7 linked regions of the Tribolium castaneum genome follow. The protein of the gene in region 3 purifies or fractionates together with the protein of the main gene of each other region. This does not show direct contact. Links are inferred from orthologs where the notes say so. Each region holds a gene or a part of one and is shown on either strand. Other genes may lie near its edges. The genes, in order: su(w[a]), pea, RnpS1, putative RNA-binding protein Luc7-like 2, AMPdeam, uncharacterized protein LOC661495 and NKAP family protein CG6066.

The links.
Region 1: the proteins of RnpS1 (region 3) and su(w[a]) purify together in Homo sapiens (co-immunoprecipitation; 3 studies listed by BioGRID and IntAct, with this or other methods). This does not show direct contact. The link is inferred for Tribolium castaneum from reciprocal best matches to the Homo sapiens genes RNPS1 and SFSWAP.
Region 2: the proteins of RnpS1 (region 3) and pea purify together in Homo sapiens (co-immunoprecipitation; 3 studies listed by BioGRID and IntAct, with this or other methods). This does not show direct contact. The link is inferred for Tribolium castaneum from reciprocal best matches to the Homo sapiens genes RNPS1 and DHX8.
Region 4: the proteins of RnpS1 (region 3) and putative RNA-binding protein Luc7-like 2 purify together in Homo sapiens (affinity purification with mass spectrometry; 4 studies listed by BioGRID and IntAct, counting the BioPlex papers as one, with this or other methods). This does not show direct contact. The link is inferred for Tribolium castaneum from reciprocal best matches to the Homo sapiens genes RNPS1 and LUC7L2.
Region 5: the proteins of RnpS1 (region 3) and AMPdeam purify together in Homo sapiens (co-immunoprecipitation; 3 studies listed by BioGRID and IntAct, with this or other methods). This does not show direct contact. The link is inferred for Tribolium castaneum from reciprocal best matches to the Homo sapiens genes RNPS1 and AMPD2.
Region 6: the proteins of RnpS1 (region 3) and uncharacterized protein LOC661495 purify together in Homo sapiens (affinity purification with mass spectrometry; 4 studies listed by BioGRID and IntAct, counting the BioPlex papers as one, with this or other methods). This does not show direct contact. The link is inferred for Tribolium castaneum from reciprocal best matches to the Homo sapiens genes RNPS1 and SNIP1.
Region 7: the proteins of RnpS1 (region 3) and NKAP family protein CG6066 purify together in Homo sapiens (co-immunoprecipitation; 3 studies listed by BioGRID and IntAct, counting the BioPlex papers as one, with this or other methods). This does not show direct contact. The link is inferred for Tribolium castaneum from reciprocal best matches to the Homo sapiens genes RNPS1 and NKAP.

Annotation. Positions count from the first base shown.
Region 1 is NC_087401.1:16,305,318-16,309,570, forward strand, and holds the start of su(w[a]) (splicing factor, suppressor of white-apricot homolog), read right to left. Parts: upstream 3,040-4,253; 5' UTR 2,971-3,039; coding exon 2,756-2,970; intron 2,709-2,755; coding exon 2,372-2,708; intron 244-2,371; coding exon 30-243; intron 1-29. Other genes in the region: vanin-like protein 1, read right to left, coding at 3,234-3,856, 3,909-4,169.
Region 2 is NC_087395.1:23,613,541-23,618,057, reverse strand, and holds the start of pea (ATP-dependent RNA helicase DHX8), read left to right. Parts: upstream 1-1,664; 5' UTR 1,665-1,747; coding exon 1,748-1,841; intron 1,842-1,895; coding exon 1,896-2,488; intron 2,489-2,658; coding exon 2,659-3,827; intron 3,828-3,968; coding exon 3,969-4,517.
Region 3 is NC_087399.1:5,873,346-5,877,018, reverse strand, and holds RnpS1 (RNA-binding protein with serine-rich domain 1), read right to left. Parts: upstream 2,080-3,673; 5' UTR 1,923-2,079; coding exon 1,921-1,922; intron 1,691-1,920; coding exon 1,577-1,690; intron 1,527-1,576; coding exon 707-1,526; 3' UTR 629-706; downstream 1-628. Other genes in the region: ankyrin-3, read right to left, coding at 1-211, 262-389, 436-486; fl(2)d (pre-mRNA-splicing regulator female-lethal(2)D), read right to left, coding at 2,525-3,178. UniProt on the Homo sapiens protein: Part of pre- and post-splicing multiprotein mRNP complexes. Auxiliary component of the splicing-dependent multiprotein exon junction complex (EJC) deposited at splice junction on mRNAs.
Region 4 is NC_087399.1:9,864,627-9,869,236, reverse strand, and holds part of putative RNA-binding protein Luc7-like 2, read right to left. Parts: intron 3,147-4,610; coding exon 2,715-3,146; intron 286-2,714; coding exon 1-285. UniProt on the Homo sapiens protein: May bind to RNA via its Arg/Ser-rich domain.
Region 5 is NC_087396.1:12,808,914-12,813,464, reverse strand, and holds the start of AMPdeam (AMP deaminase 2), read left to right. Parts: upstream 1-1,749; 5' UTR 1,750-2,045; coding exon 2,046-2,154; intron 2,155-3,340; exon of another isoform or gene 3,341-3,454; coding exon of another isoform or gene 3,455-3,515; intron 3,516-3,605; exon of another isoform or gene 3,606-3,773; coding exon of another isoform or gene 3,774-3,882; intron 3,883-4,551. Other genes in the region: uncharacterized protein LOC103313680, read left to right, coding at 1-1,278. UniProt on the Homo sapiens protein: AMP deaminase plays a critical role in energy metabolism. Catalyzes the deamination of AMP to IMP and plays an important role in the purine nucleotide cycle.
Region 6 is NC_087397.1:1,785,452-1,788,888, forward strand, and holds uncharacterized protein LOC661495, read right to left. Parts: upstream 2,127-3,437; 5' UTR 1,933-2,126; coding exon 1,664-1,932; intron 1,617-1,663; coding exon 973-1,616; intron 924-972; coding exon 691-923; 3' UTR 627-690; downstream 1-626. Other genes in the region: MED4 (mediator of RNA polymerase II transcription subunit 4), read right to left, coding at 1-351, 402-469; beta-PheRS (phenylalanine--tRNA ligase beta subunit), read left to right, coding at 2,271-2,328, 2,381-2,436, 2,492-2,652, 2,701-3,040, 3,093-3,272. UniProt on the Homo sapiens protein: Required for pre-mRNA splicing as component of the spliceosome. As a component of the minor spliceosome, involved in the splicing of U12-type introns in pre-mRNAs. Down-regulates NF-kappa-B signaling by competing with RELA for CREBBP/EP300 binding.
Region 7 is NC_087400.1:4,953,939-4,957,066, forward strand, and holds NKAP family protein CG6066, read right to left. Parts: upstream 1,753-3,128; 5' UTR 1,661-1,752; coding exon 761-1,660; 3' UTR 708-760; downstream 1-707. Other genes in the region: waprin-Rha1, read right to left, coding at 1,856-1,998, 2,046-2,271. UniProt on the Homo sapiens protein: Acts as a transcriptional repressor. Plays a role as a transcriptional corepressor of the Notch-mediated signaling required for T-cell development. Also involved in the TNF and IL-1 induced NF-kappa-B activation.

The sequences.
Region 1 (4,253 bases), on a different chromosome or scaffold from region 3:
AGCTAACGTAAAATAAACCCCACACTGACCTTTTTTTGTGGTTGAAGTAACTTGATACCGGCCACTTTTGATAGCCGCCAACACGTGCCGGTAATACTTGTACAAGTTGTGTCCCTGGTTCAGAAAACCAAATTGTGGATTATCAGCTTGTTTGGCCTTGATTAGGATTTCCATTTGGGGCCCTTGTTTACATACGAAAAGCGCCGTTTTCTCGATCCGAATATTTTCTTTGACGGTTTTTGGCTAAATAAACAAAAAAAAATGTAGAAAAATTTAACCTCTCTGACACTAAATTGCAAACTTGACCTAGTTTCAAAATAAATTTAATTCAAATTAAGTTGCCACTTATTTTGTCTAGTTAACTAAATGAAAATGTTGCGTATTTTTAAATGTAATGAAAAATTTAATTTAATTTAATAAAATTGTGCATTAAAAAACAAATCATTATTAACTTAATACTTTTTTTTTACTTTATTTTTTTCAAAATAAAATTGATTAATATAATTTTTTAAACTATTATGGGTTAATTATAATTTTGAAACGTTGGTGAATAAACATAAACATAAAAAAATAGCCTTTTCAAGCGCTTTTGAGTTGCATACCTAATTTTTTTTTGCAAAATATTATTAATTTTGATTAAAAAAATCACTAAATTGAGTCAAAAATAGCATTATTCTGTTCGTTTTCCAGCATTTATTACCACGTAATTATTTCGCAAAATTACGTCAAAAAACCTTTGCTTATTTCAAGCATTTGAGCACGTTTTTCAACCAAACATTTAATTAGTATTTTACAAAATTTCATCAAAAAAAGTCACAAAATAAAGCTGAAATGTTGTTAGTTATGCTTATTTTATGCCCGATTTTCAAGTAGATATGCAATTACTTTTCAAAATTTCGTCGAAAAATCTGTAAATTATATGAAAATGGTACAGATTTCGAATTTTTCTGAAGATTTAAGCACGTGTTCGAGCTAAAAAGTCAGTTTCTGCTGAAAATTTTTATCAAACGAAGTCAAAAAATCACTAAATTTGAACAAAAATAGAATATTGGAAGCAATAATTTTGGGAGATTTCATCAAAGATAAGCTCAAAAATTATTAATTTAAGCCAAATTTGCGTATTTCTGGCATTTAAACACGTTTTCCGACCAAATTCGCATTTAATTTGCAAAATTTCGCCAAAAAATCAGTAAAATAATGCCAAAATAGAGCCAGTTTTTTGCAAATCTTTGATAAACTAGACCAAAAAATCACTAAAGTTGGCCGAAAATAAACCAACGGAAACAATTATTCGCAGAATTCCATAAAAACTAAGCCAAAAAAAGGCATTCTTGGACGTTTTCCAGCCAGACATGCAATTATCTTTCAAAATTTTATCAAAAATAAGCCAAAAATTTGCAAAATTATGTCAAAATGGCGTAATTATTGACTTTTCTAAATGAATTCATCAGAATTTGAGCAAAAATTGTCGTCAAAACATTAATAAAAGACATAACAATAGAATAATTTTTGACTTTTTCAAAAGTTTGGCAGGTTTTTGAGCTTAAAAATGTTTTTTTTTTGTAAATATTTGCCAAACCTAGCAAAACCACTAAATGTGCCCAAAGATAAAAGCAATATTTCACTAGATTTTATCAAAAATGATCGAAAAAGTCACAAAATAAAGCTAATTTTGTTACTTTTTTGTGTATTTAAGCCTGTTTTTCAAATAGATATGCAATTATTGGACAAATATCAGCCGAAAAATCTGTAAATTATGTGAAAATGGTACAGATTTTGAATTTTTAAGAACGTGTTTAAGTTAAAAAGTCAGTTACTACTGAAAATTTTTGGCAAACGAAGTCACAAAACCACTAAATTTCAGCGGAAATAAAGTAATGGGAGCAATTACTTCGCGAAATTTCATCAAAGATAAGCATTTAGTCAAGTTTTTCCACCAAATATACGCATCTATTTTGCAAAATTAAAAATAAGTTACAATAATAAATAAGATAAATAGTAAATAAATTAAATAAGACCAAATTGACCAAAGACAAATTATTATAAATGTAATATTGTCTCTAATAAACTGTCGTCCAAAATTAAATTAGGTAACATAATTCTTGTACAAAATTCTTAGGCTGTCTATTTTAAACTTTTATGTAAAACAATACTATTTTAAATGATTTATAAAAATTAATAAAAATTGACAACGAAACAAATTAGATTTGTCGAATTATTATGTGTAAATTATAATTTTCAAACATTGATGAATAAAGATAAACATAAAAAATTGCTGAATAAAGTGGCTCCTAAGAGAATTTATCTTGAAACTACGTCTAGTTGGCTGGTTTATCGAGGCGTCATTTTCACGTTGTTCGCCTGTACTCACTATTGCAATATCAACTGGCACGTCCAAATGCGGTGACGGGACGTACTCCTCGTCCTCCTCCTCGGGCTCTGCCACCGTGGGGGCGCTCTCTGGCGCCGGGTTCGCCGGGACGTCATAACTGTACTGAAACTCATTCGCTTTCTGTCTCTTCTGCTCCTCCTCCTTGTACATTTGCTCCTCTTCTTCATTGATATGTAACGAATAGTACCGTTCCTTATCACACAACTGCTCAAGTTTCCTCTCAGAGTCACTCAAACCCAACCACCGCATGGCGTCAAAACCCTCCCGACTCGCCTCAAACGGTGATATGTCCGACAGGGCGCCCCGACAGTCATATCTACGCAAAACCAAATCAATTCAAAGTAAACCAAAAGTAAAACTAACCTATCAATTTTGAGACTGTCGTCTCCCATCCACGGGATAAGATGGTGGCCTTTATCGATGTAGGAGGCCTTTTCGTCATCGCGGAACAATTTACACGCATAACCGAACACTAAAAGATCGTCGTGGTTCTCTTTCGGCTTGTTTTTGCGCAAAATACCCGACTCTGAAGTTGTGCCCCACTGCGCCATTTTGATTTTTTGTACGGTTGGCAACATTTTTTACAAACAATGCCGGTTGCCCCGGCAACCAACAATACGCAAAACCAAATAATGGACAATTTTACGAATATTTGGCTAATTACACGTTACCAGAGCCCATTAGTTAACGAAACGTAAATTAATTATTTCCATTCGGCGCCTTTTACTCAAAAACAGCGTTAAGTGCACCGGTACCGTGTGATCCAAAATGGATGTGTCAGTTGGCAGTTCTGAATTTTATTAAAAGTGGTAGCACTGTGCGACTAAAAGGGTGAGCAACTTTACTTTATTTCATACAAGACAAACAATGACGTGCACAATAAAACCCAAAGTGCGGATAAGTGGCCACTTGAGTTGTTATCATCACGTGGCGTGGAGTCTTGTTCAAAGTTGCGTCCAAAAATAGCGAAAGTTAGCAACCTATTCTGAGGCTTAGTTATGGAAAACTTGCGCTCTATCAAATCTTTTCCGTCTCGTGTGACTTGTGACCCACTCCAGGCCGTTTCAGTTGTGTCTATCGGTCGTATGGAGCTTTTAAGTGAGTTGGGAAATTGCGTATGATTTTCGCTCTTCTCAAAATTTGCGGAAATTGTGATTTTTTCAAACGTTACGGGCCACTGGACTTTATCATAATTCGGGAATCTTTGGGCACACGAAGTTAGGGAATTATTCAAACAGGCGATAATCCCGCAAATTTCAATCCCACCATTGGCAACGCCTGAATATGACCGAATCCCCGAAAACGCCACTAGGCGATAAGTGTAAAAGTTTAAGTCGGGTTTAATTGCATCTAAAGTTGTCTCGACTGTAAAATTGCAACAAAACTGTTCCTTGTCCTCATTCTCGTAGCAAAGCTCAGTCTTTGTGGATTTAACAGACGTGTTCAAAACCACAGTTTTGTAATCTAGGATTCGTAATTAATTATTAAAAAAAATAATAATACAAGAAAAAATCACCTTGAACACTGTCATCAACTTTCAAGTGAAAACCGTCCATTTTTTTCGCCAATTCGTCCACATCTTCACTCGCTTGTTTTTTGTCATCACCTTGATAAATAAAAGCTTGGGTTCCACCCTCTGCCACAACGCCCCCAACTGTTAGACCTTTGACACCGCGATAAACACCACTTCCGCCACTTCCGGCGGAGCGACTGTTAGCCCCCGCAGCAAAAAGTGTGATATTGTGGCCGTAAGACCACATTTGTTGCGCCTGCATTGCTACCAAAAATTTCAACCGGTTAGGTTGGCAATAGAAGCGATTATTTCGCGAAATTAGGGGAAAATTTTTGAGTTGCATACCCA
Region 2 (4,517 bases), on a different chromosome or scaffold from region 3:
AAAATATACCTTGAATTATATAAATATGTAACCATTTAACAATTGAGGACTAAACCGCAAAAAAGACGTACAAAATTAAGGAAATCAGAGGAAATCTTGGGAAAACCATGGATCTTAAGATATCAAAAAAAAACAAAGAAAATCATTATTAAATCAGAAGAAAATCTGGTGTACAGAAATTTGGGGTGCAGTTTATGTACTCCTCGTAAAAAAGCACAAAAGTACCTGTATCCAAAAAATGAAGAAACAATTAAAGCCGCAACCAAAAACTATTCAAGTCAAGTGATGGATAAAGTTGTCGAAAATTTCAATTTTCAAGTGGGGCAACATGAAATTCAACCTGTTTGTGTTAAAAATTACGGGTTATTAGGTTTTGAAATAGCCAGTCCGGCCCTGTGCGCTTAGTCTTATCCCCATCTGGCCGCCCTGGAACAACCAGCCATTGTTGGGAATTGGGCCGAATCCAACCCCACCCTAATAATAAATTTGTAACATTTCGAAATTGCATCGCATCCTCAAAACTGAAAATTGCATCGAATGTAACAATAACAAGTCACACAATGCAATTCAATTGCAAAATAGACGCCAAAGTTATATTTCCGTTGTTATTACAATGAGATTTTTCTTTGGGGATGAATCGTCAGCTGGCGAACTACTTAACGCCCTTTCGACACCTCAATCTTCCCCTGACTTGATATCGGACACCCCCTTGGTATAATGGACTGTTGTCTTATCACTCCTTATCACAATAGTACTTGACTATACCCCGATTGCAGCCTATTTCGGACTATTGTTGGCTCGAGGATATGAGCTGACATCCGCACACTCTCATAATACTCCGCGGAAATACTACTCTAAAGCAAATTTAAACGATAAGCGAGAGCGCTGTTTGCCCCTTTTAGGGCAATTAGCCCAACAAAGGCCCACGAAATACCGCGCAAAATATTTACGCATTTGCGCGATCGGTCTCAACTAACGGGGGCCGAAAGTGGTTATTGCATCTCTAGGAAAAAATACATTTCCATCGACTTTTCCCTTGATTTAAGCAGATTCTAGCGTCTCTTGAGAGACTATTTCGGCTTTCTCGGCGCGGTCTAAAAGGGATTATTATTTTTTACGCTCTTTGTGACCCTTTTTAAAACGGAATGTGGGTCGTTACGTCCCTTGAGAAAAAAAATTGCAAGAGAAATAACACCAATAACTGAAAAAACGCCAGTAAACAGATTTTCCTAAGCATTTTAATTTTTATAAAGGTTATTTAGAAAAAAATTTTAGAATAATATAAGTGCTCAAAATTTGGAGTTTCCAAATTTTTTTAAAAATTCAAAAACACTAAAAAAAGATCTAAAGCTTCTCTTCCAAATAAGTCAAAAATTAATTCAAAACATTAAAAAAACGGCAGAGTTATCTATGTATGATAAATGAAACCAAATTCTTCTGAATAAAGTTTTGTGTTAGACAACCAAATAAACACACAATTTAATTTTTTTTTACAAACCATTTTTTTTATTTTTGTACATTTTATTCTAACAATACAACGTGATTAAAACGTATTGTTATAAAAATAAGGCATTTACTACAATTTATGAAAATAATTATTAACAATTATGTGATAGTGTTATGTAACCAACATTACATCACTGACTTGCGCATGCGCCAGTAATGCCAGAATTGTCAGAAATTTTTTGACAATTGACAATTTAGACAACAAAACGTTTTTGTGGTTTTTACCCTAAAATTAACAAAAATGAACGAAGTTGAAAAACTAGAATATTTATCCCTCGTATCTAAAGTATGCACCGAATTGGAAAACCATCTCGGGATGAACGACAAGGATTTAGGTTAGTTAACCCCAACTCTTGATTCCGCCCCAACTAACCCTCATTTCTCCCCAGCCGAGTTCATAATCCACCTCTCCGAAAAGCACGACACTGTCGACAGCTTCAAGAAAGTCCTTGTCGAGAATGGTGCTGAATTTTCCGACTCTTTCGTCTCAAATTTGCTCCGTATTATCCAACACATGCGCCCCAAAAAATCAAGTCAGGCGAGTAAAGTGAACTCGAGTCATGAACAGGATTCACTAGCTGCGAAATTCCCGGGTTTGGCGTTACCGAACGAGGTGCAAAAACCCCTCACACCAGTGGTGGAGACCAAGGGGGAAGATGAGGATATTGTGGCTGATTTGATGGCTCAGTTGGAGGCTGATGCCCCCTCACAGGCGAAAAATGATAAGGAGAAGAGGGAAAGAAGTCGGAGTCCTGAGAGGAAGCGGCGCAGGAGGGAAAAGTCCAGGTCCAGGTCGAGAGATAGGAGGAGGAGGTCGAGGGAGAGGTCTGGGAGGAGGCGCAGGAGCCGGAGCAGGTCGCGGAGGAGGAGGAGCAGGAGTGCGTCCCCGAGGAGGAGGGACAGGAGTGCCTCCCCAAGGAGGAGGGACAGGAAAATCAAGCGGGAGAGTCCGGAATTGGACGAAGATCCAATCCCTGGAAAAGTAGGTTTTTCTTATTTATAAAAATCTGAATTAAATAGAAAAAACAAGACAAATACTACAAAAACAAAAAACTTAAAATTATGATTCAGTTGAATCACATTTTTGCCGAATGAAATTTTCATCTTTTCATTTAATTTTCATAACAGTGCTAATTCTTAATTATTTGGCAGATTTACACAGGAAAAGTGGCAAACATTGTCCCTTTCGGTTGCTTTGTCCAGTTGGAGGGTTTACGGCGCCGTTGGGAAGGTCTAGTGCATATTTCGCAATTAAGGGCTGAAGGTCGCGTCACAAACGTCTCTGAGGTCGTTTCACGTGGAATGAAAGTCAAAATAAAAGTACTATCAGTAACCGGACAAAAAGTCTCCTTATCAATGAAAGACGTTGATCAAATAACCGGAAAAGACCTCAATCCCCTTTCACACGCCCCTGCAGAACGTGAAGATAAAGACCGGAACCCGGATCGTCCAATGAACACCGGAACTTCCGTTTTGCGCCTTCCTGTCGGCATCGACGAAAACGAGGAAAACTCCCGCAAACGTGTCACCCGGATTTCGAGTCCGGAACGCTGGGAAATCAAACAAATGATTTCGTCCGGGTGTATCGATAAGAGTGAGTTGCCGGATTTCGACGACGAAACCGGACTTTTGCCCAAGGATGAAGACGGAGAGGCTGATATTGAGATTGAGTTGGTTGAGGACGAGCCTCCTTTCCTCCAAGGTCACGGGAGGGCGCTCCACGACTTGAGTCCCGTCCGTATTGTGAAAAACCCAGACGGTTCGTTGGCTCAAGCCGCAATGATGCAATCAGCTTTGGCGAAAGAACGTCGTGAGCAAAAAATGTTGCAACGAGAACAGGAAATTGATTCGCAACCGTCTGGGAAAAATAAAAACTGGATTGATCCACTGCCCGAGGATGAGAGTAAAATGAATTCGGCACGTGGGATTGGTTTACAATCGCAGGATTTACCCGAATGGAAGAAACACGTAATAGGGGGGAAGAAATCTTCGTTTGGGAAAAAAACCAATTTGAGTATTTTGGAGCAGAGGCAGAGTCTGCCCATCTATAAGTTGAAGGAAGAGTTGAGGAAAGCTGTGACCGATAATCAGATTTTGATAGTGATTGGGGAGACAGGGTCTGGGAAAACGACTCAAATCACGCAGTATTTGGCGGAGAGTGGGTTCACAGCCAGGGGGAAAATTGGGTGTACGCAGCCTAGGAGGGTGGCTGCCATGTCGGTGGCCAAGAGGGTGGCCGAGGAGTTTGGGTGTAGGTTGGGCCAGGAGGTGGGCTATACGATTCGGTTTGAGGATTGCACAAGTCCAGAAACGATCATCAAGTGAGTATAACAAAACAATATATTTGGTTTCAAAAGTGGGTTTAAAAATAAAATAAAAAATTACCACATCGAAACATATTTAAAAAATAATCAAATATTATCACAATTTAAAGACATTTGAAAGGAAACTATTCTTTGCAGATACATGACGGACGGCATGTTGCTTCGTGAGTGCCTCATGGACCTCGACCTCAAGGCCTACTCGGTCATAATGTTGGACGAAGCCCACGAACGCACCATTCACACCGACGTCCTCTTTGGCCTCCTCAAACAGGCCGTTACGAAACGTCCCGAACTCAAACTAATCGTGACATCGGCAACCCTCGACGCCGTTAAATTCTCACAATATTTTTTCGAAGCCCCAATTTTTACAATTCCAGGCCGGACATTTCCCGTCGAAGTCCTCTACACGAAAGAACCCGAAACGGATTATCTGGACGCAAGTCTAATCACCGTTATGCAAATCCATTTACGGGAACCCCCCGGCGATATACTTTTGTTTCTAACCGGACAGGAAGAAATCGACACGGCTTGCGAAATTTTATACGAACGTATGAAATCATTAGGACCGGATGTCCCCGAATTGATTATACTTCCGGTGTATTCGGCGCTTCCGTCCGAGATGCAAACCCGGATTTTTGAACCGGCGCCCCCCGGAAGCCGGAAAGTTGTCATCGCGACAAATATAGC
Region 3 (3,673 bases):
GTAGTGACGTTGGAGGGCCAAGTGCAGTACTGTGTTATTATCGCTAAAAACTACCTCAATGTTGGCCCCCTTGCGGATCAGTTCCAGGGCAAAGTACTCGATTATGAAAATGTCGCTGTGGTAGAGCAGGGACAGGGATAGGGCTGTGTGTCCGGAGTGGTTTTGCGCCTCCAAGTCGAATTTATCAAGCAAGTAGTCAAAAATTGCGTTCCTGAAACCAGGACTTGGTAGGGATTTACTGAACGTTAGGGGGGATCATACTTTTCGTAAATTATGGATAAGTGCAGAGGGTTGTTGCCGTTTTCGTCCTGAAGGGTGGTTTGGTCAAAAGGGTGCGGTAAAAGCTGCTTGAGGGTGGCAAGGTCATTGTTAGATATTGCTGATTCAACCTGGAGCAAAGGCTAAATTTGAGGTTATGTCAAAATAAATTATTACTTCAGATAAGAGATTTCGGCGGTTTTCATCACAATTATGTGAGACAGACATCACTTAAACGATTTACGAGTCATCTTCATCAATTTTCCATCAATTTCATTTGTAACAATTATTTGAAGAAAGCTAGGTTATGTGATAGGCAATACGTGGTAATACCAATATGACAAAATAATAATTTTATCATTTATCAATCTTTGATTATCAATACCTTAATTCCGGTTTTATTCCTTTTCACGCATTACAATACCTTAAAAAATTAAAATCGAAAAAATCATCTGGAACTGCTCGAACTGGAGCGGCTGTGCTTCCTGCGCCTGGGCGGGGGGCTCCTGGAATGGGGGCGCCTCCTCGGCGGGCTCCTCCTCATCGGTCGCATGGGGCTCCGCCTCCGGAATCTGGGCGGGGTGCGTCTGTGGGGCGGAGGCCTCCTCATATGCATCGGCATGGGGCTGCGCCTCATGGGGGGCGGTCTCGGCTTGGGTACAAGCACCGGAGCCGCCGTGATCTCCTGTCCATCAATTTGCCCCCCATCCATGTGTTTCATCGCGTTTTCGGCATCGTCCGCATTGGTGAACTCCACGTAGCAGAAGCCCCGCCCCAAGTGTGGGTGGATGTGGTCTTTGGGGAAATCCACATGTTTGATTGGTCCATACGTCCCGAAAATCTCCATAATGTGCTCCCTGTTGATGGTGCGTGTTAAACGCCCAATGTGGATTTTCGTGGGGCGTGGCGTGGGGGACCTGCGACGCCTTTTGCGCCGGTCTGAGCGCGAGCGCGAACGAGACTTGCCACGGGTGTGGTTTTTGTCGTCTTTCGCTGGGGATTTGCGATTGTTGACGTCTTTGTCTTTGACCTCGTCTTTATCGTCCTTTTTGACATCTTTTTCCTTCTCCTTTTCCTTGTCTTTGTCTTTGCGCTCTTTGCTGCGTCGGGTGGGTTTGCTGGTGGAGCGCGAACGGCGTTTGGGGCGACTGCGGTCTTTATCGCTGCTTGAGCTTGAGGACTCCGAGGAGGAACTGCTCGAGCGGGAACTGCTGCCCGAACTGGAACTGCTCGAAGAGCGCGAGCTGGACGAGCTACTGTCGGAAGAACTAAATCAAGTGTTTTAGGTGATTACAAACTCTTCAAACTCGGGTGTTACCTTCTGCTGCTATCGCTGCTGCTTGAACCAGACTCACTCTTCCGTTTACGGTCCCTACCACGTTCTTTCTTCTTATCCTTGTCGTCCTTTTCCGTATCAGAACCTATTTTTGCCCTAAGAACAATAAAAACCAACTCAAAAAATTTGTAAAAAGTAATGGTGTCCGGGAGTGAACAAACAAGTCAGTTGTTGTAATACAAATTATCTTGATCTTGAAGAACCTTGAAGGAAGCAAATCGAGCAAACACAAGTGATGCATGGGAGTTAAAATGTGCTAAAACTACAAGGAAATCGTGGAAAGCCCTCCCGGACTACAAACATAACCTCAAAACGTAAATACTCACATTTCTGACTATTCTTGATTCCTGTAAAGTCGGGACAAGTTTAGAACTAAAACCTTTCACTGTATTAACGCGGAAGTATGAAAACTACATGAAAAACTGTGTAATTGTGGAAAATTAGCAAAACGACGCTACTACGACCACTTGATGTTGGTAGCGCTGTTCTGGTGACTTTAAGTTTGTAACTGCTACACCAACGGTGGGAGATTGAATTTTGCACCCCCGCAGCTACAAGTAAAACACCGTGGTCAATAATAAGTGATATAATTTTTGTTTTATTTTATAAATACAACTTTCAACATAAAAACGTTAAAAAATGATACAATCTGACAAATTTAAAACAGAGTCGGTCGAATGAATAAAATGCGAACAATGGATAAAAAAGCGCACCTTGATAACACCTTGAATGGGGGAAAGTAATAAAATATTGCATTGTTGCCAAAACTAATAGAAAAAATTCTGCAACTGCACCGCAGTGATCAACACAATTTAGTAATGATTGAAGTCACAATTCGAAACAACCACATTAGGCTAGTATATTTCTATGTACAATTGAATATACTGTTCGTCAGTTTATATGCGTAATAGTTGGGTTAATCTCAGCTCACTATTCTGGGTCGGAGGCCATCGCGACGTCACCGTTCGTGCTGATGACGAGGGCGTCGTCCTCGTTATAGTCGATACTGAGGACGGACGACCTTCGCACGCGTTTCACACAAGTAGTCCTCTCCGCCTCGGAGTCCGAGTCCGTCCGTTCCTGTTCACACACACTGTCACCGTTCGACCGCCCATTGGCCAGCTTGAGCGTACTGTTCTCCTTCTGCAGCACTTGGGCGCTCTCTTTCGTCTTGCGCAGCTCCGTCTGGAGGAACAGGATCGTGCTCTGCATGCCCTCGACGTCCTCGTCCAGGTCGGCCAGGAACGCGTCCAGCTCGTTCTGGCTCTGTCTGACCTCCTCGGAGAAGCTCTTCTGCAGCGCCAGGTCGCTCTCGAGCTTCGCGATGCGGCCCGAGCTCGTGATTTTGCCGAGTTCCTCGTTCTCCTGGTACAGGAGGCGGCATTTCGCCATCAGGCGTTTGCCCGTGTTCGAGTCGGGGGTGAATTTCCACGCCGTTAGCTCGTTCTTGGTGTCCTCAAGCTCGGAACGGGTCGATTGGAGCTCGGTTTTTAGCTGCTGAAGGATGCAGTTCACGGCAGGATCGAGCAGGGTTGAACGGAGGGCCGAGGGGGCTTGGGCACTTTTCAGCTCGTTCAATTGGCACTGCAGCAAAAATACTCTTTAATATTGACACAAAAAATATCGCAAGGGCGCCCATTTTTCGGAGTGGGTTTACACAGCGGTCTTACAATAACAAGGTGTCTACGTCCCCGACATTTCGTTAATAAAATATACAAGTAATGTTAACCATTTTATTCAACATAACGTTTCTGGTGATTTTATTAAAACTAGTACAAACGCACAATTTTATGAAAAATTGAAAAATGATTCATGACAAAATTCGCTTCGTAGATTAGTTCAGGTTTGTGCTTATTAAAAAATTAGATAAAAATTTCATATAATCTGATTTAATCTACAAAGCGGTAAATTTAGAATGACAATAAGCTAATTCAATACATATTTACAATAAATTACATCACAGCTGCTGAAAGTTATTTACGGATTGGCAATGTAACGCTCATATCAGAACATTAAAAATTTAATTAGCACCTAATGAGTAACATTTCTGAACAGTAAAAAACTACACAAACATAACTT
Region 4 (4,610 bases), about 4.0 Mb from region 3:
GTCCCTTCTCTTATCGCTGGAACTTGAGTGGCGCGAGTGTGAGCGCCGTTCCCGACTCCTGGATCTGGAGCGATGCGATCGAGACCTGTTATCCCGATCCCTGTCATTCTTTTCCCTTTCTTTGCGGTCCCAGGATCTGGAACGGTGTCTTTTGGAGCGTCTGTCCAGTTCGCGCCCCCCGACATACTGCTCGCGGTGTCTCTCCCTGTATCTATCTTCCCGATCGTCCCGGTCTCTGTCACGGGAGGACTTGCGCTTTTCCTCCTTCCGTTTCTCGGCGTTTTTCTACAATATATAAAAGTATAAAATATTTTGAAATTACTTAAAACTCCTTAAAGTGGTTGATATTGACTACGTTAAAGATGGCATTAAAATATTTATTTTTAATTCGTTGCGACGTTTCTAGTCTCCAAATGGTTAATTTTAATCTAATGTGAAGAAAGAATAATGAAAAAATGTCGATTTATTATTGAGTTTGGAGTGAATTTACTTTCTAAATTTAATTTATACTTAAAGCAGGTCAATTAATACTGAAAAATTTAAATTTTTTTTGAGTTTTGGCCAATTAGATGAGCTTTATGCACGATTTATTTAGTTAAGAAACTCAAAAACGTGTTTAGAAGCTTGAGAAAAAAAAAACCTTTTTCTGGTCGACATTTTGACATTTTTCAGCCTATCTTGACGAAATTTCGCTTAAAAACAAAAGAAATTGCCTGAAACAGGCAAAATATTTTAATCTTATTATGATCACTTTATGTGATTTATTGTGATTTCTGGGAGCATTTAATAGAATAAATAAGTTTCAGGTTCAAGACTTGAAAATGACTGAAATAAAATAAGATTAACATTAATTCGATCAAATTTGATGTTTTTACAGCCACTTATGCCCATTTTTTTTTAAATAAAGCACTAAAGTGTAAAAAGCCAAAAGTTGGTGATTTTTTGGTTTTCTTTAGCGACATCTCTAAACCTAATATTTTTAACTCAAAAACGGAACATGATTTCAGACCGAATGTTACGGTTTTTCGGCTTATTTTGAAGTAATTTTGCTCCAAAATGAGCTAAATCGAGAGACACTAACATCAATTTCCATTTATTTTGTAATTTTTTGTTGTGTTTTAACGAGTTCTTTTGTAAAGTCGATCTAAAAAAGACAATTAACATCAATTTCGATCTAATTAGATATTTTTTTCCCCAATTTTACCTAAAATTTTCGAAAAGAACTTTTTTTGCTTCAACAAAACTCGAAGAAAACTAAAATAACACCCACTTTAGTATAACTGGGAAACTTTTCGATTTGTTCTTAGTTTCTATTCTAAATAAGAATATCCTGCTAAATAATGCTAAAAAAAGACAAAAACAAGATAATTTTGAATTTAAATTCATCGAAATCTTCAGAAAAAATGATACCTTAGCTCTAAAAAGTGCTTGAATTCTTGGGAAACGCAGAAATAGCAGTACTATTTAACTAAAATTTATTGTTCTTGAACAATAGATAGATCTCTCGACGAAAGCTGGTAAAAATAACCTAATAATCAAAATTTTTCTTAAAAAAACACCGTTTTTATCTCAAAAACCTGTTTAAAAATTCGAAAACCTCGAATTAACAATGGGGTCTAACTTGTTGAAATTTTGTTTGCTGTTTTATTTGAAAATGTTAAGAAATAATTCCTTAAAACTATATCAAAACATATGGAAAAGGAAAATGAATGTTATTTGACTAAAAATGATTTTTCAATCGATTTCTTGCAAGAAACTGAAGATATATCTTGCAAACACGTGTTTCCAAAAATACACAAATAACATATTTTTGACCACAAAAAATTTCATACAAAACAGAGCTTAATCCAGTTAACATAGCTTAAGAATGATCTTGCAAAATAAAGTCCAAATGCATTAAATCGAGAGAAATAATCTAAATAAATTAATTGTTTTGGTGATTTTACGGCTAACTTTAACGAAGTTTTGCAATTTCTGTCTGGAGAATGTGCTAAAACACTCAAAAAACAAGAATTGTGTAGTGCTATACTTAATTTGGTGCTTTTTCGGTCTCCTCTAGTGAAATCGTGCAAAAAACTAAGTTTAACAACCTTCTGACCAAAGTTTGTTTGAAAATGTTTCTAAAATTATTGACGTGTTCAAAATCAAACAAAATAAACGAAATTTAATCAATTCGACCTAATTTTGTAATTTTCCAGTTACGGGGCTTGAGAGGGGAGGGGAGGATAACATAATTTTTACTAATAACTTTTTTCTTCTTTTATTTTTGATGTAATCTCGCACAAAAATAAACCAGAGCGATTCAAATACCACCAATTTAGAATATATTTTTATTAATTTTAGACGTTCTCTGACCTAACCTTGTAAAATAAATGAGTATCTGATTCAAAAATGCATTAAATCCAGTGGAACATCAACTTCAATCTAATTTGGTGAATGAAATATGCAAACTAATTTATTTTTTGCGGGGAATTTAAAAATTGCATGTATATATTTATATTATATATAAATATTATGTATTTATCGAAGAGGCCGTGAAAAATTGTTTCATTTGTCATGTTTTTTAATCAACCATCTCCAACCAAAAATCGTCAATCATTTCAAAGGATAAATAACGAAATGTCTCTGATGATTTTTGAATATGACAGGGTTTGGTTGCGTCATTTTCAATTTAGGTGACTGTACAAGCTGTACATAAAACACAATATCCTTACCTCAAGTTCGGCCAACTTTTCCCGAATCTTAATAAACCCAAGATGTAATTTCCCGCCGAAATGATCAGCGAGACGTCGATCGTTATCATGTATGCCGAGATAAGCGGAACAAACTTCGCAAACTCGTAATTTCTGTTGTTGGTAGCTGCTTGCCGGCATTGAATTGCGATACTCTTGCTCGGCTTCCAATTTACGCTTTCTCAATTCGTCCACTTCCTCCATGAGTTTCATGCTTTCGTCGACAAAACCCTCTTCGCCGAGTTGCTCGGCTTTGGCGAGCTTTTGACCGATTTGTTCCGCCAATTCGTGCACGCTGTTCGCTTTAACGGCCACTTCAGCCGATAGTTCTTCTTGGGTTTCGGCGAGGCGTTGCTTGGCGGCCTCGGTGCGACGGTCGCAATCGGTGATAAAAGCTTGCAGATGTTCCATTGCCTTCAGGAATTTTTTATCACTGGTTTTATATTTTATTGGGTATTGGGTGATATTCATAAAAATTTGTAATTATCAGTTTTTTTAATACTTATAAACATACTTACAAATATTAGTATTTAATAGTTAAAAGTATCACTTCAACCTAAAAGTGAACACTTGAATCCAAATGTCAAAAGGAGATGCTTATCCTTATGACGACCATACAAAGTGAGACTACTAATGAAGTACTATATTTTTACTATACGTATCTCAGAAATAAATAATTGCACAGAATTTAGGTTGACTATTAAATAATTTTTTATTTAATTTAATTTTAATTCAGCGATTCCAGGAATAATGCAACCTGACACCGTAATTTTCAAAATAAATTTAATAATGCAAAGTTTCTTTCAAAATATACGATTCAGTTTGTATTTGATGTATTTTACAACAAAAAAGTTTTTTTGTTGTTGTGGATTTAAAACATGAGACGATAATTATTTAAAGTGAATTCCAACATTTACATACATTGCCTTGTAGGCAATAATATAAAATACTGTTGACAGCTGACGTACTATAATTGGTAAATAATTTCTGAAGTGTTTTTTAGTTTCTGGTAGTGTCCCATCCATCATGTATAAACAAAAAGTAAATTAATCGTAAATCAATGCACACTGCATTATTCCTCGGTTTCGAGAATAATTGTAGGAATTAGTGCATTTTAAATTAACATAATATTTAACAATAAAATGTAAAGTCTTCTTTATGTCCTATTCGCTATCAATTTGTGTTTTTCGTGTTCGTATTTAAAATTTTACAACTGTAGGGTGCAAATAGTTGGACTGGTACTAAGTTCCTTTTCTACTGATAATATTTATAAAAACCGTTAAAATGAATCACAAAGATGGGTAGAAAATTTCGTAGATTCAAAAGTTTTGCAATATTTCATTTTTTGGATGTTGAATTAAATATCAAAAATAAAATAACTACTTAGAAAGATGGTACTAGAAGTTTAAGAATGATCATTTTTACTCGAGAATAAGATTTCAACAATTTTTTTTTCTTTTAAAGCAATTTTAAACAATACAAAAATATTCTGAAAAAAATGCATGAATGATGGATGTATCAATTAAAACCAAAAATGATTACTAGTACAGTGTATCTCCTCCTCTGGCATCAATAAAAATTTAAAATCGCCACCGCATACCATTAACAAGGACAGATATTCGTGCTTGGGCAGAATTTTTTTTTGAGTTCTTAGGACTCTGTAAAGCATATTACAAGCATAGCAATGGTGGTAAAAAAACGCTTGTTAATCAAACATGAACACATGCTAATATTCGTAAACACCAAGTTTAGGGCTTCTTTTACCCAAAAATGCCAAGAGAATGGTAAAAATTTTATTAAGTCTTAGCACCATGGAAGGGACAAACAGAACAGAAAGATGAAGTTACTTATGTTTTATGGTACAACCGATACAAAAAA
Region 5 (4,551 bases), on a different chromosome or scaffold from region 3:
CAATACACTGACCAAAGTCAATTTGAACAGCAGCACTATGCCAATAATTCTAATCCGAAAACTGAACAACAGTATGAAAAAATTGATGAACCAATTCTTCCAACGCAACAATATGATGATCAAGCCCAGTTTGTACAACAGTTTAATAAAACTGAGCAACCTGTTCAAGAACAACATTTTGAAAGTGAGCAGCCAATCCCGTCACAACAGTTTGACGATCAAGGCCAATACGATGAAAATGGACAACTGATTCAAGAACAACAATATGATGGTGAACCACAAATACCAACGCAACAATATGATGATCAAGGTCAATTTGTGCAACAATATGACAATAGTGACCAGCCGTACGATCAGAGTGAACAACAGTATGATGAAAACGGACAACCTGTGCAACAGATTACTGAACAAGGTCAATTTGTGCAACAGTACGACGAAAGTGGACAACATATTCAACAGTACGATGAACAATACGGACAACAGTACGATCAACACGGCCAGTACCTACAACAATATGACGAAACCGGACAACCTATTCAACAATATGATGAAAGTGGACAACTTATTCAACAGTATGACGAAACTGGACAGCCTATTCAACAGTATGATGAAAGTGGGCAACCTCTTCAACAATACGACGAAAGTGGACAACCTATTCAACAGTATGACGGAACTGGGCAGTCTATTCAACAGTATGATGAACAACCTGTTCAACAATACGACGAAAGTGGACAACCTATTCAACAGTACGACGAAAATGGACAACCTATTCAACAGTATGACGAAACTGGACAGTCTATTCAACAGTATGATGAAAATGAACAACCTATTCAACAATACGACGAAAATGGACAACCTATTCAACAGTACGACGAAACTGGACAGGCTATTCAACAGTATGGTGAAAATGGACAACCTATTCAACAGTATGACGAAACTGGACAATATGGGCAACATTATGACGAAAACGGACAACCGACTCAACAGTTTGATGAAAATGGACAACCTATTCAACAATATGACGAAAATGCGCAATACTATGGCGATCAAAGTAATGTGCAATATGATGAAAACGGTCAAATGATTCAGCATTATGACCAACCGTATGATGGAGTGGTTGAGCAACAGAATGAAGTCAAAGGGGACGATCAGAGTGTTCCTGCACCGTCAGAACCAAAGAAAAGTAACATTTTGGAACTGTTAGATACTGACACTGAAAGTATGAAGCAGGAGTCGAAAGTTTCACACGATAGTGATTTTGATTTCAGTAATGAATAAGTTTGGTAGTTTAGCCATAGAAATGTAATGAATGACACACTTGATTTAGGTCTGTGATTCAGTTTTTTTAATACAACACTAATAAAAATAATCGGTGTTTTATTTCCTAATTCCTAAACTTGCTCCTGTGTAGCTCAGCCATTAAACTGAAGGTCATGCAGTTTCAGAGCGAATATGTTGCATTTTTTCATGTTTATATTCGCTCATTTGGCATGATTATTAAATTGACGCGTTGCATCTGCCTGATTAATAAACCTGGCTAAATATAAATCGCGCAATTGCATTTCCTGTTATCACAAGCAGTGATAAATATATGCAGGTATAGATCAAACCAGCATCTTCCATCCTAATTAAGTGTGTCATTGAGTAACAATGCGCACAATTACCACAAAGCCCACCCGAATAATTAATTTCAATAAGCCGTATTTATTTATACTTAGTGGGTTTTATTTTTAGTACTTGAACGAGATAAGTACAGTTCGGTACCCACCTACGTTTTCGCAACACATGTGCTTAAAAAATATTTAATCGTTCCAGCTTTATGAGTTATCTTTTCCGACGTATCGAAAGCACACACACATATCGTGAAAATCTTCCGCTGCGCGTTTGCTGGAGGCGTCCTTATGCGGTGCCAAAATCAATATTTCCTCCACGAACTCTGTGTCGATGCAAACACGTACGGTGTGTGCTCTTTTTGATACGTCTGACGTGTTTTTTACATTGGTAAAAGCAGTGCTAAAAGACTCAGTGGGGTTCCAGTGCAAATTATGGCCGATTTGTACACCAATAATTTGAGCAAGCCCAAGTGTTCTATGACTTTTTATTCGGATTTTGGAGATGGGGAGACTGAGACTGACATTCTTCAACAAAGACAAGGTGGGTATAATTAGCTTTAGGCTGGTTTAGGTTATGTTACTGAGTCATTGATGGGCTTAAGCCACTTGCGATTTTCATTAATCAAACCACACTGTATTCTGTGAGGGAGAAAATCAAAATTACATCAATATTTTTTTATTAAATCAATAAGTTTTGCCCAAGATTAATGAGTATTTTATATGTAACCATTCATTCATAAATCATAATTAATTACCTACCTATTCCACGGAACAGAATGAATAAATTTTTCGCATATTTAATTTTTTAAATAATTATAATTGAATAGAAATAATTAAATCGCGTTTTGACGCCTTTTGGATAAATTAGATCAACTTGTGCAATAAACAAAAATATTAAAATGAACTCAATAATTTGTCACAAATTTCTCAATTTTTGAAAATTCATTTTTCGGAGAAACTTAAATATTTAAAAATAAAGAGCTGATTAAATGAAACTCCATTAATTGTTTACATTTAACATCGACCTTAAAAAATGCTAATGTAAATTTGTAGTGGCTGCTTTCTTTGATGACCTCGTTTTACTTTCAATGTGCCAAGAATTTGATATTCCGAAAAAATAGTTCAAAAAAATTGTGGTTGCTCTTAATAACTTTCTAAGCCTTTAATCGAACAAGGAAAGATAAAATTATTATTACATATTTGTTCAGAACCGATAGAGCAGATAAGAAAAGATCGTCAAAAAAATAAATTAAGGTGAATGAAATTTAATTTTAGAACAATCTAAAGAATTTTATATTGATAAGTTCTATAAGTGTGAATGTCTAAACTGGATTAAGATTTATTTGTTTTATTTTAGAATTTAATTATAATAGTAAGATTGTTAAAATCTGGGGATAAAATTCAAAGGTGGGTATATTTTGCAACATTTTCATATCCAGTTGTTTATAATTATTATCATTTTATCTTTATTTGTAGTTTACTTAAAATATTGTTGTACAAAGTGTTAAAATACTTCTTGTTAACAACTGTTGACTTATTTTATTTCGAAACAACGAATGCATTATTCGAATATATTTACCTAATGTTTAGTAGCAAATAGTGGTTTGGGTTTGCCATTGGTTTGTTGTTTTAAATAAAAAATGCGAGGTATAATTATGAACCGGATGCCGGAACTTCGTATCAGGTCTCTGGTGATTGCTAATTTAATAATTAATAACAAAGTCAAACTTGACAAATTTCAAGCTGTCACAATATCGAATTATTTTTTAAGTCCAAAAGGCAAAAGCTGAGTGTTTGATCTGGAAATGTAATACATTTTTTCCGCCAAAATCGGGGTTTTAATGAGTACAAGAGGCTTCCCTTCTCCAGATCCCGATAGCACTAGCTCAAACTCCATTTCAGGTAGGAATAAACCTTATCGTATTATTTAAATACACCGAGTGTGCTAATGAAGCCATTATCACAACCTTGAGCGAAATTTATTGTGCTAAAAAGTTTCGTACGAAGTCAAATTGTTACCTAGTGCTCTTCCTGAAGTTTATTTTCGTCGTAAGAATTTATTGTTGGAAAATTGTATTCGTATTTTTGGGTTGTACATGTGCCAGGCTGTTCGTGGTTTAGTTTTTATCGAATGGTTCGCTTGTAAAGGCGCACACGAAAATGTGTTCTCGGGGTGTGAATTACCGAAATTCGGTGGATCTGCCGGTGGTTAATGCACCGGCGTTTTTACGGGTTAACTCGTTCGTGGATGAGGATAAACCAGCATCAGGTAATTCCCCAATAAATTCAGGGGCAAGCTGAGCAATTTACTTTCGGCGTAATTGATATTCAGATTAGATAGAGAGCAATATGCATGAGGGAAAATCTCCAAGTATTATGTCAATACACGTACTGTAATAAACCCTCGCGTGCTGTTTTTTATTTAGTGGGGATGTTATGATTATGTAATTGAGCTAATTTGATAGATAGCTGCATGGAGCAGAACTTGGTCGTCGATTTTCCAACGCATGGAAATCAAAGATTGCAAGCTTTATTCAGTTTGAAATAACGGTCCAAATATTTTTGTTAATTTCTGGCTGAAAAATATCAATAATTTGCATTGTGTTCTTTTAATCAAATCAGAAAAATCTGATGCATAATTTTTGATAAATACAAAATGATTGGAATGTTATTATTTACTGAAATACTGATATACTTGTACTAAGATTGAGAACATTATACCTCAGCCTACAATTACTAAACAAACTACAACGCAACTTCTGAGATCAAGGATTCAAGGACCTTCATTTATGTCTAAAACAACGTTGACTTGTAGCCAAACTTTTTCAAAACATTAAATATATTAAACGCAAATGTTTCGCCGAAAATACCTCTCTTCGCCTATTTATAATTTAGACGTATCACTGTTTACTATGAGTCATAATTTCTCCCCAGTTCT
Region 6 (3,437 bases), on a different chromosome or scaffold from region 3:
GCATTAGACGCGCTAATCCTGTGCGCAAATTTGATAAGTTCCTCGGACGAGACCGGCCGTTTATTTGCGCGGGAAATGGACTGGAGTTTCTGGTTGGCTTGATAAATCGCAGTGGCCAGGATTTGCTCGGCCTCTTTGAGCTGTTTTTGCAAGTTGTTAATGTCGTTGTCCTGACGCTCCACTTCGGCCTTCAAGATGTCCATTTTTTTGTCGATTTGCGCCTGTTCAGCGGCCAGTTTAAGGGTTTCAGTCAGTTCGGTGTTTTTGGCCACCAAAAGCTCGGTCAGTTGAGCGTATTCAGGGCCGGAAAGCTTGAGGTGCTTGGGGGCGATTGAATTCTCGATTATTTCTCTAAAAAACGCAAATAAAACCATACGAAATGACCCGAAAGGGGGACGTACTTGGAGATTAACTCAATATCGTCGAGGATGTAAAGGAGTTTTTCCTTCGTGCTCATTTGAGACGACATAATGATGGGGAAAAACACTCACGGGTTTAAATATTAAACGAAATAATCAATTGAACAGTTTTTATTTCGAACACAACCTCAAATACACAAATGTCAAAATAACGCGCACACTGCGATGCCATCTGCCCAGAGAATAACTAAATCGTAAGAGCGGGAATTTTAATCGAAAAAATTACTTTATTGAAAGAAACCTAAGCTAAATTAAAATATATACACAAAATTCAATTCTCTTCACTCTTGACTTGAACCGCCGGCTCTTCCTGCTTCACATCGTCATCCTGTGTCTCATCTTTACTATTCTCATGCAATAAAACGTACTCCCTTGAGCTGAACCCAAACTTGATCACGTCTTTCTCCAACAACTCCACATATTTACTCGGCTCTATCTTCTTATTATTGATAAAAGTCCCATTAGCCGAGTTCAAATCAATCAAATACGGCCTTATTCTCTTCCCTGAAAAAAACAATGAAAAACCCAACACACTACCAGCTGTCCCACAAACCAGTGGTGCCATCCTCACGCGTGAAAGGGACTAGGCGATACTGCAAAGCTGCGTGTTGTTTTGAGCACGAAGGGTGATCTACAGGGAGATCAACAACTTTGCGATCGCGCCCAATCAAGTAGGCGCTTTCGCGATGTATGTATAAAGTCTGAAGGGCCTTTTCGCCCTTAAAAGGGTACAACCGCCACCGACGTTTCGGCTTGCAAGCCTCAGGCGGCTCGCTATATTTTATAACAACGCCACGATAAGTGTTAGTTTCTTCGGTAAGTTTTCCCGAAAGACCGAAATTCGGTTTTTGCTTTTCCTTCTGGTCTTTTTCCTTCTTGTCGGATTTTTTGTCGTCCGACTCGCGGCCCCAACGGGCGTTCGAGTGGTCAAAGGAGGCGCTTCTGCTACGCCGCCTTGGATGGTTCTCTCTGTTTCGCTCCCGGTTGTGGTAATTTTTGTTATCGTCCCGTCGGTTCCTGTAATCCCGTTCCCTGTCTCTGTAATCAGGACGCCGGTTTCTGAACCTGTTATCGTGAGAACGGTGGTCATTGGGGCGGTTTCTCCTGTCGTCATGCCGCCCCCGATCGTCCCGGACCCTCTTATCGTCCCTCTCCCGCCTGTCCCGATTTTCAGGCACAGGACTCCGCTTGCGTTTCCTTTAAACACAACTAGTATTTTCCCTTAAAACCACCAACAATCATACCTGTCGGTTTCTTCCTCATTTGTTGGCTTTTTGTCCCTCTTTTTTGCCTGTTTATTCGCCTCGTCACTTGCCACAGGCGGAGTTTCGTGTTTTTTATGCGAGTTTGCCTTCGTTTTGGTTTTCTTCGGCGATTCTTCAGTCTCAGGTTTCGATTCGGTTTTCTTGCTTTTACGTTTCGGGCGCCGTTCGGGTGATGAATCGGAGCTTTCGCTGCTTGAATCTGATGAACTGGAGCTGCTGGAAACGCGCTTCTTCTTCTTTGAGCCCATTTTTTGTTTGTTTGGGCGAAGTAACTTTAAGGTTATAAGAAACGCTACGTCTCGCAATTGACAGGTGTGCCAATACAACCGGCGAAAAAAAATATTGTGGGAAAAAATTAATTAAATTTGCATTATTATGTTCCGATTATAGTTCTGACGAAGACTAATTGTTAAATAATCTTAAAAACTGGCGTTTTTTCTCGAAAACTGATCGCTGATGCTGACAATTGACCCAACCTCAACTTTTGACATTGACAGGTCCCGCACATGTCATCGTTTTTTCAGTTGTGAAACACTTTAAACGTGTTCATTTTTAGACAAAAACGTGATAGTAAATAAAAAATACAATGCCGACTGTGGGTGTCAAGCGCAATTTGCTATTCGAAGCCCTTGGGCGCACTTTCAGTAAGTTGTTTGATCACTGTGCCCCCTTATTGCCCCAATTTGCAATTTCCAGCCGACGATGAATTCCAGCGTTTATGCTTCGAGTTCGGTCTTGAACTGGACGAAGTCGTAAGTATTAATCTTTCAAGCGATAAAATGATGCAATAATGCCCTAAATTTCAAGACAACTGAAAAACAGATGATAAGTAAGGAACAAGGGGAGGATTCAGCCCAGGCGGCGGGAGCCTCCGAGGAAGTCATTTATCGAATTGACATTCCTGCAAACAGATACGATTTATTGTGTCTTGAAGGCATTTCATTAGGAATTAAAATATTTCAGGGGAAGTGAGTCATTAGTTTTGCCTTGACTTTGGCACTGTAATGTTTTTGTAGAATTCAGCCGCCGGTTTACAAACGTATCAAACCGTCATCAGACAGTATTCAAAAAATTCACGTCACACCCGAAACGGCGAAAATCAGGCCTTATATCGTAGGCGCCGTTTTGCGTAATTTATACTTCACTCAAGATTCTTACAACAGTTTCATTGATTTGCAAGATAAGTTGCATCAGAATATTTGCCGCAAACGCACGCTTGTCTCAATCGGGACGCACGATTTAGATACAGTTCAGGGGCCCTTCACCTATGACGCTAAACCACCTTCTGAGTTTAAGTTTGTACCACTTAATCAAACCAAAGAGTGTGACGGCAACGGCGTTATGGAGCTCTATTCAGTAAGATTTTGACCGAGTTTGGGGGATTCCCAACAGTCACGTGATATTTCAGGCGCACGCGCAGCTAAAACAATACTTGCACATCATCAAAGACAGCCCTGTATATCCACTCGTTTTGGACAGTAATGGGGTTATTTTATCCCTTCCGCCGATTATTAATGGGGATCACTCCAAAATTACACTCAACACCAAAAATGTTTTGATTGAATGTACGGCAACTGATTTGACTAAAGTGAGTTGAACGTTTCAATTGAAACATGCCATAGTGGAAAATTTTATTCATTAAAAAAATTCATAACTCGAAAACTAAAAGTCGTAGAGCAATGCGGTTTGTTCCATTGAATTCAGCGGCTCATTTTCTGTGTTATACCAACTTTTCATGAGATTTAAAATTTTC
Region 7 (3,128 bases), on a different chromosome or scaffold from region 3:
CTCACATATTTGAACAATCACGACGTTTTGTAGCAACTGGGCTTTTTTATTGGATTGAAACAGCACATAAGGGCTCATTCACTTGTGCATAGAATTCATTTCAATCCGATAAAAAATTGCCAGTCACTCGAGCGCCCTCTATCCCAATTCTCACAAACGTTAAATATAAGCCACAGAATGTCAGACGAAGTAACTTTTGACTACGTTAGAAGCCTAAAAGACAACAGACAGGTTCTTCTAATTGATGTGAGGAACCCGTCGGAATTAGCGCAAACTGGAACAATTCCTGGAAGCATCAATATACCTTGTAAATACCCTAATTAACTTATGAATTAACTGCAAAGTACTTCATTTCAAGTGGCCACTTTAGAAGAAACGCTGCAGAACACAAGTGATGAACAATTTCGTCAAGTTTTCCGAAGAGAAAAGCCTACAAACACCACGCCTTTAGTTTTCAGTTGTCAGTCGGGGCGGCGGAGCCGAGCTGCGCTAGATTTAGCCAAAAATCTGGGATACGTAAAGTAAAACATTCGTTTTGTTCCGTCTTTAATTAAAGTCGCCTGTGATTTTTAAATTTAGTTGGCAACTAGATGTTGCCAACTTAATTCGAAATCATAGGCCACTTTGACCCGAAATTTAAGTTCAATTTTCAGCGCCAAACATTTCCCTGGGGGATGGACCGGTTGGGTACAACAATGTAAAACAAATTAAGTAATAAAAAAACTTTATTTATACGTAATAAACACTCAATTCTACGAAATTAATTTTTCTTTTCGGCCAGTTTGGAGTTGACCATTTCCCTGAACTGTCCCAAAATCCTGTTCTCCCTCTTCTGCCGTTCTTCTTTGCTGAACATGGCCAAAGCCCGCTTCTCATCAGCTGAATAAATCTGGTTTTCTTTCCGTATCCTCACAGCCTCCATTCTCCTGTGTCTTGAGCCGGACATGACATAACCCACGGCTTCAAAACTTTCAATTTCTTCAGACGTGAGTCCAATTTCACCTCTTCTTGGTATCCGTTTTCCTTCGGCGACGTACGCAGCCATGGCAGCCCCCTCACCAGGGAGCAAAGCCTTGCCCATTTCCTTGTGAGTCAGGGCGGCATGGGGCTTCAAAATGGGGCCGACGATCACCTCTTCGGTCTCTTCCGCATTGGTTTGGGGTTTGTTGGTGGTTGTGGTCTTCTCGACCCACTCTTCCTCCCCTGAACTGCTCTCACTTGAAGACTTCTTCTTTTTCTTCTTCTTTTTATGCTTCTTGTGGGATTTTTTCTTTTCCTTCTTCCGTTTTTTTAGCTTGGGGGCGTTCTTGGTGACGTCTTCGACGTCACTGTCGGAGTCTTCGGGTTCGGGGGATTGGCCCCAAATGCTGGGGTAATCCCTCATTCCGAGGATCTCACGCTCCTGGCGTCGGGACTCCATGAACTCGTCCTCAAGGTGTTTTTTCTTTGTGACTTCATATTTGTCGTTTCGTTCAAAACCGTTTGTTGTGGTGCCTCTGGATCTAGACCTGCGTCTGCTGGAATGGCGGTCTCTTGACCTGGAATGAGACCTGGACCTGTGTCTCCTATTACGATCATTTTTAAACGATCTATCAGTTTTGTGTCTCCGGTGGTCCGGGGAACGGGACCGACTGCGTCTGTGTTTTGCCACATCCATCATTTCGTAAAAAATCAATTTTTTTACAATAACATAACCTTTAAAAAAAACTGTCAAACTGAAGTCACTTTACGTCATTCCCATAAGCTAGAATTGACATTTGCTCAAACCATTTCAAATTTTAAGGAAATAAATAAAACACAAAATGCGTCGATTTGCTAATTTTTATTCATACAACGATACTACAATTGTAACTGATTAAAATTCGGGTTTGGTGCAAGCCATGGCCCCGCACCGATTCCTGCAGCACTTTTTAGCCCCCCTGCAGTCCGAGTCTAGGGCACACCTGCTGGAGCACACCCAAGGGCCTGACGGTGCAACTGGACAAGACCCTTGTTTCTCTAAAACACAAATTAATTTTCTTTAAAAAAAATTGTATCCATTTCACCTCCTCTTTGAATTCGCCTCGTTGTTACAGGGGCCGTACAAAAAGTGCCGCCACAAGCCGTCCGGCAGCATTTGAAATGGCCGGCACAGTGGTTGTCTTCGAAACAGGCCACTTCACAGATCCCCACGTTGGGGTACGGGGGGCAGTCTCCCGATTTTGTTCGAGGCCTTTGGCCGTACACAAAAACAGTTAGAAGGGAAAGGATTAAGAAAAGTTTTGCCTGCATTGTTAACACTTGTAGGGCTTTAAGATGAATGGAATTGGATGTTGTGTAGGTGCAAGAGTCGAAGAAACGGAAACCACAAAACGACAAATTGAAATTTTGATTAAGTGTGCGGATTTAGGGCGGATGTGGGGTTCCACTGCGGTTTGCGCAATTTAGTAATTGGTTGAAATCTACAAAAATAGAAAAAATGTATTAAAAATTACCCATTTTTATTATACTTGTATTAATTTACTACTGTTTTTTTCTTCAATTCCTGCTGCTAAACAAAATTAGGTCAAAAATTTTAGTTTTTTGAGCGTTTCATCGCGTTTTCAGTCAGAAAAGCGTCTGCTGTGAGTAAAGTTTTATCAGAGAAGTCACACTATTTCAATCGTTATACAGTTTCACGTTTAAGACTGTAAACAGATTGAACCAAAAGTATAACAACAAAATTCACATTTAGTTTAAAAACAAGCCACCTTAAATATCTTAGTAAAAAAAAACAAAAAAAATAAAATTTTTGAGACAGGTCAATTTTTATTTAAAAAGAAACATTTAAAAAATCTCTTATATTTATTTATATTTATATTTATATTTGATTTAGTTATTTTTTTATCTTACTCAATATAATAAAATGGTCGATTGGTAAATTTTTTCTTATTTGAATTTTTCAAAAAATTTATTAATACGTGTATTATACACGTAATCAATAACAAACAAAAATTTCGAAAAAAACAATTTTTGAAAACGCTTGGTTCTATACTTCCGCCAACGCTGTATAAAAAATGCAAGGTATGATTATAAATTATAAAACGACCGAAAAAAATTGTTTTTATTACTATATTATTTAGATAAAAAAAATTTAAATGCATATTTTT